Drosophila melanogaster: one gene and its partner. The protein of the gene in region 1 binds, or shares a complex with, the protein of each later gene. Each region holds a gene or a part of one and is shown on either strand. Other genes may lie near its edges. A codon is read from its position in the direction of its gene.

What was found. Proteins that work in one complex are often made in the same cells at the same time.
Region 2: the proteins of ND-23 (region 1) and ND-B17.2 are in contact, whole or in part, in a cryo-EM structure (PDB 8ESZ), measured with the Drosophila melanogaster proteins. Residues at the interface, in NP_524719.1 of Drosophila melanogaster: Glu85 (codon at 1,094), Pro86 (codon at 1,091), Ala87 (codon at 1,088), Thr88 (codon at 1,085), Ile89 (codon at 1,082), Asn90 (codon at 1,079), Pro92 (codon at 1,073), Phe93 (codon at 1,070), Glu94 (codon at 1,067), Lys95 (codon at 1,064), Gly96 (codon at 1,061), Pro97 (codon at 1,058), Leu98 (codon at 1,055), Ser99 (codon at 1,052), Pro100 (codon at 1,049), Phe102 (codon at 1,043), Arg110 (codon at 1,019), Tyr111 (codon at 1,016), Pro112 (codon at 1,013), Ser113 (codon at 1,010), Gly114 (codon at 1,007), Glu136 (codon at 941), Thr148 (codon at 905), Arg149 (codon at 902), Pro176 (codon at 753), Asn177 (codon at 750), Phe178 (codon at 747), Glu179 (codon at 744), Phe180 (codon at 741), Ser181 (codon at 738); in NP_001137770.1 of Drosophila melanogaster: Arg32, Asn33, Asp34, Asp35, Lys37, Phe58, Tyr59, Gly60, Arg61, Arg63, Trp64, Ile65, Phe67, Tyr75, Asp76, Gly77, Ser78, Ile80, Pro81, Ala82, Glu83, Tyr85, Gly86, Met88, His89, Tyr90, Lys91, Thr92, Cys101, Arg102.

The regions. Positions count from the first base shown.
Region 1 is NT_033777.3:15,835,501-15,838,816, forward strand, and holds ND-23 (NADH dehydrogenase (ubiquinone) 23 kDa subunit), read right to left. Parts: upstream 1,618-3,316; 5' UTR 1,530-1,617; coding exon 1,490-1,529; intron 1,307-1,489; coding exon 855-1,306; exon of another isoform or gene 787-854; coding exon 625-786; 3' UTR 548-624; downstream 1-547. Other genes in the region: Arpc3A (Actin-related protein 2/3 complex, subunit 3A), read left to right, coding at 1-50; spn-E (spindle E), read left to right, coding at 1,983-2,180, 2,238-2,480; Pbp45 (PSEA-binding protein 45kD), read right to left, coding at 2,821-3,316. UniProt on the Drosophila melanogaster protein: Core subunit of the mitochondrial membrane respiratory chain NADH dehydrogenase (Complex I) that is believed to belong to the minimal assembly required for catalysis. Complex I functions in the transfer of electrons from NADH to the respiratory chain.
Region 2 is NT_033779.5:2,578,696-2,582,073, forward strand, and holds ND-B17.2 (NADH dehydrogenase (ubiquinone) B17.2 subunit), read right to left. Parts: upstream 1,478-3,378; 5' UTR 1,445-1,477; intron 1,376-1,444; 5' UTR 1,260-1,375; coding exon 1,165-1,259; intron 1,102-1,164; coding exon 924-1,101; intron 873-923; coding exon 788-872; intron 732-787; coding exon 661-731; 3' UTR 562-660; downstream 1-561. Other genes in the region: Elba2 (early boundary activity 2), read left to right, coding at 1-313; Arpc5 (Actin-related protein 2/3 complex, subunit 5), read left to right, coding at 1,674-1,886, 1,949-2,191; Drp1 (dynamin related protein 1), read right to left, coding at 3,087-3,143, 3,203-3,378.

The DNA.
Region 1 (3,316 bases):
TCGCGAAGAAAAAGTTCATGGAGAAGAGTCTGGCTGGACCTGGACAATAAACAGCTATCCACAATATCTGGTATCTTGTTTTGCTTCTACGACGGGTAAAAATACCCTTCAATTAAGTTTTACTCGCAGCGTGGTCCTAATTTGCAGTATCACTGCCAACGTGTCACAATTAATTAAATTCATTAACCACTAAATAAATTATTTGAATTTGTAAGCCTTTCTGTTTTAATTAATTTATGTAAATTCTTTTTACAAAATTAACGTGGATAAAACTGCAAGTAACTTTCATAAATAATATCTGTTTCTAATAACTGACCAGCAAATGGAAGTTATTGCCTATAATTTGTGTAATCAAAATCGGAATAGTAAAGTATTAACTAAGTTTCATTTATTTGTAGTCGCTCCGTCATTGGAAAAAATGCTTTCTATTGGCCTGTTAATTAAATAAACTTTGTCATCTGTCGAATACAACGTGGAACTCTTTGAATATAAATAATTTATATTTATTAGGCCAGTTGAGTAATTAAAAAAAATACAACTGACTTTCGCTTAAGACGAAGCCACAGCAACGATCTTTAATTGGAAAATCGTTCTAAACAAGGAATTCTAGGGGTACAAGCAACTTTAACGATAGAGATGGTCGGCCTGCAAGTTAGAGGCAATCTCGGACTCCCACTTGTCGCCGTTGCAGAGAAGCTTCTCCTTGTTGTACAGCAGCTCCTCGTGCGTCTCCGTGGAGAACTCGAAGTTGGGTCCCTCGACGATGGCGTCCACGGGACAGGCTTCCTACGCGGGGGGACAAAAAGATGCAATTAGTTTCTAGTAAATTGTGGCGCCACTTTGCTCCTCCTCACCTGACAGAATCCGCAGTAGATGCACTTGGTCATGTCGATATCGTAGCGTGTGGTACGTCTGCTGCCATCCGCGCGCTCCTCCGCTTCGATGGTGATCGCCTGTGCGGGGCAAATAGCCTCGCATAGCTTGCAAGCGATGCAGCGCTCCTCTCCACTGGGATAACGACGAAGGGCATGTTCTCCGCGGAATCGCGGGCTCAGTGGTCCCTTTTCAAAGGGATAGTTGATAGTGGCCGGTTCCTTGAAGATGTGCGCCAGGGTGACGGCAAATCCACGTAAGAGTTCACCGAAGAACATGGTGGATGCAGCACGGTCCGTGATGTCGGCAAACTCCATGCTCAGTTCCTTGTTGTTTACATACACATAGCCCTTGGGAACCTCGACGATATCTTTGGGTTCTGCTCGCTGGGCGGCCAGCAGCCGGGCTCCATGGCTGCCAAACAGGCGCTGTCCTGTGGGGAGAACATTTTACCATTAAATAACATGCTTAAGTCGAAAAGTTATACTGAATTAAGCGAGTTTAGACTTTTGTTTTGGTATGACATAAGCTTACATAACCTCACTCGCCGCGATTTCCACGAAAATGGGAAATTTCCCGGAAAACAACGGATGTGAGGGGATGGGTCGCCACCTACCGTTGCGCGATGCGGTGAAAATTCGCATAGTTAGCGACATTTTTGCGACCAAATTAAACTAAAATTGCCAAAGAAGTTGTTTTGCTATTGAATTTGCCCGAACAAATTAGAGCTGGGTTTCTTTCGATTACCCACATAAATTCAATGCTCAAATATCGTATTCAAATATATCGTAGTTTCTTAATGACATAAACCAAAAATAAAATATGAGATATAAAATATAAATAATGTAACAAAGAATTAAATATTCGTGTAAAAATAATAAATAATATTAACAAATAATCCAGAAAGACTGTGAGAAAAAAAAGAAAACATTTTTTTTATACGAATACCCCTAATAAAAACCTTAAAGCTTCGATAATGGCACTATCGATATAAATTCGCACTTTTACACTTTTCAACATTGACTTTGAAAATCCCCACCACTACAATTTACAGTTTAACTTTTCCCGCTACGCGGAATTGTGAAATTTTTCATTGTTTATGTCGGAAAATGGATCAGGAGGTTATGGATTTCTTTGACTTCTCGAAGGAGTTGAAGCGCGTGGCCGCCGCCCCGCAAGGCTACATCAGCAGCGATCCGAGGCTAATGGCCACGAAGTTCAAATCATCCGAAGTGCCCAACCGCGAGTTGATCGGCACCGACTATGTCAGCAAAATCGTCGCCAAGGAAAAGTGTCTCCTGAACGGGGTGAGAACTGGAAGCTTGCGTCAGCACTTCTGTTTGTTTATGTGTAATTCGATCCAGACGCTGCTCAACGAACAGCCTCAAGGCAAACGCATTCGAACGCTGGACGATTTGGACACCGACGATGAGGGGGAAGAGACCGAAATTCGCCGGGATGACGAGTACTACAAGAAGTTCAGATTCAATCTGAATCGCGACAAGAACTTGTCCATCTACGCCAAGCGCGAGGAAATATTGGCGGCCATCAATGCTCATCCGGTAGTCATTATTAAGGGCGAAACAGGATGTGGCAAGACCACGCAGGTGAGCAAAACTTAAATAAAATCCTAACTTTTTTATTAAGTCTATATTTTAATAAAGCCAACGCAAGCGAATTATAATTAAACCTTTTATCCTCGACTTTTGAAATTCAAATCCAAACTAGTCGAGAGTATTTAATATTATATAATAAATAATAATCTTCAATATACTTTTCAACTCTTTATATAAGAATAGCAAAGCCTAGGAAACTTATATCCTATATAGTTATATATCCTATCCTACATACTTAAATACAATGAATATTTTATGTGCAACAGATAAACAAGATCACATCGCGCAAAAATGCTAGTTATTTAATTATGTAAAAGTTTTATAAACTAACTCAAGTATCCAAAATAGCTTTGAGTTCTTCTTCCGTGACCTCCTCGCTTTCACCCACTTCCATTTCCTCGTCGTCACTAAACTCAATCATCTCATACTCTTGCTGCACGTCTGCTGGAAGTTCCCTCTGAAAAACGGTGGCCGAGGACATGCGGCGTTGATAAGTCTCGTTGACCTCCAGCTGCACTTCTAGTTCATCCGCCTGGTTTTGCGGCTCCCGTTCCTCGACGCCGTACATGGCCTTGTTCCGCACCCTCTGGCGCACTTCCAACTGGTTGCCTGTAGATGTTGTGGTACAATTCTCATCTGGAGTACTCTTTCTAGCTCCTAGAACACTTTGGATATCGGCAAAGACTTCTCGCAAATGGCCGAATATTTGAGAGGGCGGCAAAGCGTGCTCATGACCAGCCGCCAATTGCTTCTTTTGGGCATTGTATGCCGCTTCCAGTTCACACAATGGCTGGCTTGCCTGGTCCAGTGCTCGCAGACCCTCCAGT
Region 2 (3,378 bases), on another chromosome or scaffold:
CGGTGAGGTCTTCTGGACCAACGCCCCGGTGGCCACGAGGTGTCTTCTTTGCGTTGTCTTCAGCAGCGATGAGTTGGCTACCCACACGCTGACCGGGAAGCCGTCGCCCGCATTCTACGGCCGCGAAAGACCCCCAAAGCTCCAGTTAGACCAACGCAAGGTGGACGACATCGTGGTCTGTGTGAGAAACCGGACGGGCGGCAAGGAACGGGTGATTCGGGCCACCATCACTACCAAGTGTGCGGATACCGCCAAGAAGTACAAGAGGCGGGCCAAGAAGGCCCAGAAGGTCGCCATCAAGGAGGAGTATTAGCATGGAGTGGACAACTATTGGCTAGATATAATCCAGCTATGATCAAGCTCTTCTCAACGACGCGCCACGAAAGGCGCAGAAAGACATTGTATATATTCGTAGTAGGTCCTGCTAAAAGTAAAAGTAAAGTTATATAATCTAGCTGTGATTGAATAAAGACAAGATGAAACCAATTCAAAACCTGAATAATATGGGAATAGGCAGAGTTACTTCACTTTTCTGTCCATTGCTAAAATTGTTCTTCGAGTGCAGAGTCAACAAAATTGGGTTTATTAACTCGATCGGGTGTTCTCATCAATCGCAGCCATTTGCACTTGAATTTAAAAATAATTATAAGCTATGCCACACTACTGCTTCTTCGCCTTGGGTTCCCAGGCCTCCACTTTGTTGGGTGTTGTGGAGTAGGGGTAGTAGGCCTCTGCAAGAGCAGGATTGAATTAGGGGGCTTACTTAATGGGAATAGTGCATAGTTACCCTTAGTTCCGGAAAGATTCTCGCTGTGGTCCGCTATCCACTTGTACTTGGGGCGGCATCCATCGCGAATGGGAGGCAGATCGGTCTATAAGGAAAAAGGTAATAACATGTGCGACAAGATGTAGTCTAAACCCACCTTGTAGTGCATCCAGCCGTACCACTCGGCGGGAATCATGGATCCATCGTAGTCCATGTTGACGTGGGGGGCGAACTCGATCCAGCGATTGCGGCCGTAGAAGTAGTACGGGTTCTCGAAGTACTTGTTGCCGTACTTGTCGATGCCCACCAGGGTTCCGATCTTCAGATCATCGTTCCTGGAAAATAGCGCATATGCGGTTTTCAGGATTGGAGCAATCTTATATAAGATCGAGACTCACCTATAGAGCTTCAGGTACGCTTGCTTCAGTCCTCCGGCTTCGCGGACCATCTGGAACAGCTTTGTCAGCCGGTTGATGCCCAAAAACTTTGCCATGCTGCCGGGAAAACCCAGAAATATATTAAACGTAAATAATTTCGATTTTCTTGGACTCACTTGAAACAAAAACAAAGTCAATCTGCAGTGTGGCCAGGAGAGGTCAAAAGCACCAGCTAGAAATACTGAATCATATCAATCATATTCTTTGAAGTAAAAATGGAACAAGATTGGTCGAAACCTACTCTCAAAATATTTTTAAAGCTCATTAGACTTTCATTTGCTGAGATAAGTGATTGTGAAACTCATGTTTTTTGTTGCTTGGATGTATCCTGTGCATTATTGGCGCTTTGGTAATAATACTGCAGCTAGTATTTTCTGAGGTTCGGCCACACTGCCACTCATCTGTTTTGCCTTGCCGGATTTTGTGATTCATATTTTTGTAGAGAAAAGTGGTGGGAATTTAGCGAAAACATGGCCAAAAACACGTCCAGCAACGCGTTCCGCAAGATCGATGTGGACCAGTACAATGAGGACAACTTCCGGGAGGATGATGGGGTGGAGAGCGCGGCAGCCGGTCCGGATGAGAGCGAGATTACGACGCTGCTGACGCAGGGAAAATCCGTGGAGGCGCTCCTGAGTGCGCTGCAGAATGCCCCGCTGCGCTGCAAGAACCAGAATGTGAAGGTGGGTAGCCACACCTATTCGTATCGAGAACCCTATAAAGCTAATCCTTCCTTGCATTGCAGGACCACGCCCTGAACATCACGCTGCGGGTGCTGCTGTCCATCAAGTCGACGCAAATGGACCAGGCCATCGACACCTTGGACCAGAACGACCTAATAGACGTGCTGATGAAGTACATATATCGGGGATTCGAGATCCCCTCGGAGGGCTCCAGTGGCCACCTGCTGCAGTGGCATGAGAAGGCCTTCGCCAAGGGAGGAGTGGGCTGCATTGTCCGCGTGCTGTCCGACACAAATCGCGCCTAGAGGAGATCAGCACAGCCAAAGGCGGTCATAGAGTCACTACCCCAACTGTTCCCTGCCCCATAAACCGATTCATACGCATCGCGGAGCATTTAATCAACACAGGATTGGAGCACTGGACACCACATCCTTATCTTCGGGATTTGCCACGCCCCAGCTGGAACCCACTTCTGTTTCTTCGCCGCAATACAAATGACGTTTTCCAAATTAGATTTTAACTGGTATCCAAGTATTAAAGTTTTTATTACGAAAGGTGAGTGGCAGTGATTTCAATCAGGGGAACGAACGTACTTCTAGTTCACTCAAGCCACACCTACATGTAACATAATTTGTAAGAAAAATTTTGTTTTTAGTAAGGCTAAGCAATTGCTACGCATCTCAAAACTCAGGAAGATTCAACTCCTATCAGATTTAAACACTTATTAATCTTCAGACTGAGCCTAGCAACTTTACGAACATAATGGCTTATCTAATCGAAATTCCAGGTGTATCATTCAACATGATGACGTTGCCTTCGTAAACTTTTAGCTGCCGTGACAGAAAACACATCTACTATGTTTGAATCAACCTTTTCTGCTTTATTTGACTATTCAATGTGTAATAAGTGCTTTGAGTAACCTAATCAAACCAATCACGGCGTCTACAACTTCTTATTAATTTAAAAAGCGGAGAGGCTCGATGATAGACAAATGCCAGGCGAATAGAAATGCGAGTTGGCTAAATGAAAGGCCCAGAATTTGGGGGTCGCATGCAATTTGATGATATTTCAGTGCTCGGTAGGGGGAACATTTAACAAAGGAGTTCGTTCTCTTTGAACGCGTCTTCAATAAATAGTTTTTATGTTGCTTATATGCGGGGATTATTAAGTCGAAACGGGTTGCTCCAATCGCTGACCAGCCTACCACATGTGGGTCTCGCGGATTTCGCTGATGATGTGATTCGCTCGCGTCAGTGCCTGAAATCAAAAGTAAGTTTAAAACGATGTCAAGCTAAGTATAAGCTAGCCAAGCGCACCTTCAGCATATCTGCCGCCTCTTTTCGGCGCACTGCAATGTGATCGGACTCGTTGAGCAGGGTTTCAGCCTTATCCGACTTATACAGATGTGTAACCAATTCGCTCTGCAAGTTGTCCTTAACGTAGTTAACCAAGAAATGCATGATGGCCTTTGGAACCGAGTCTTGTATGGATT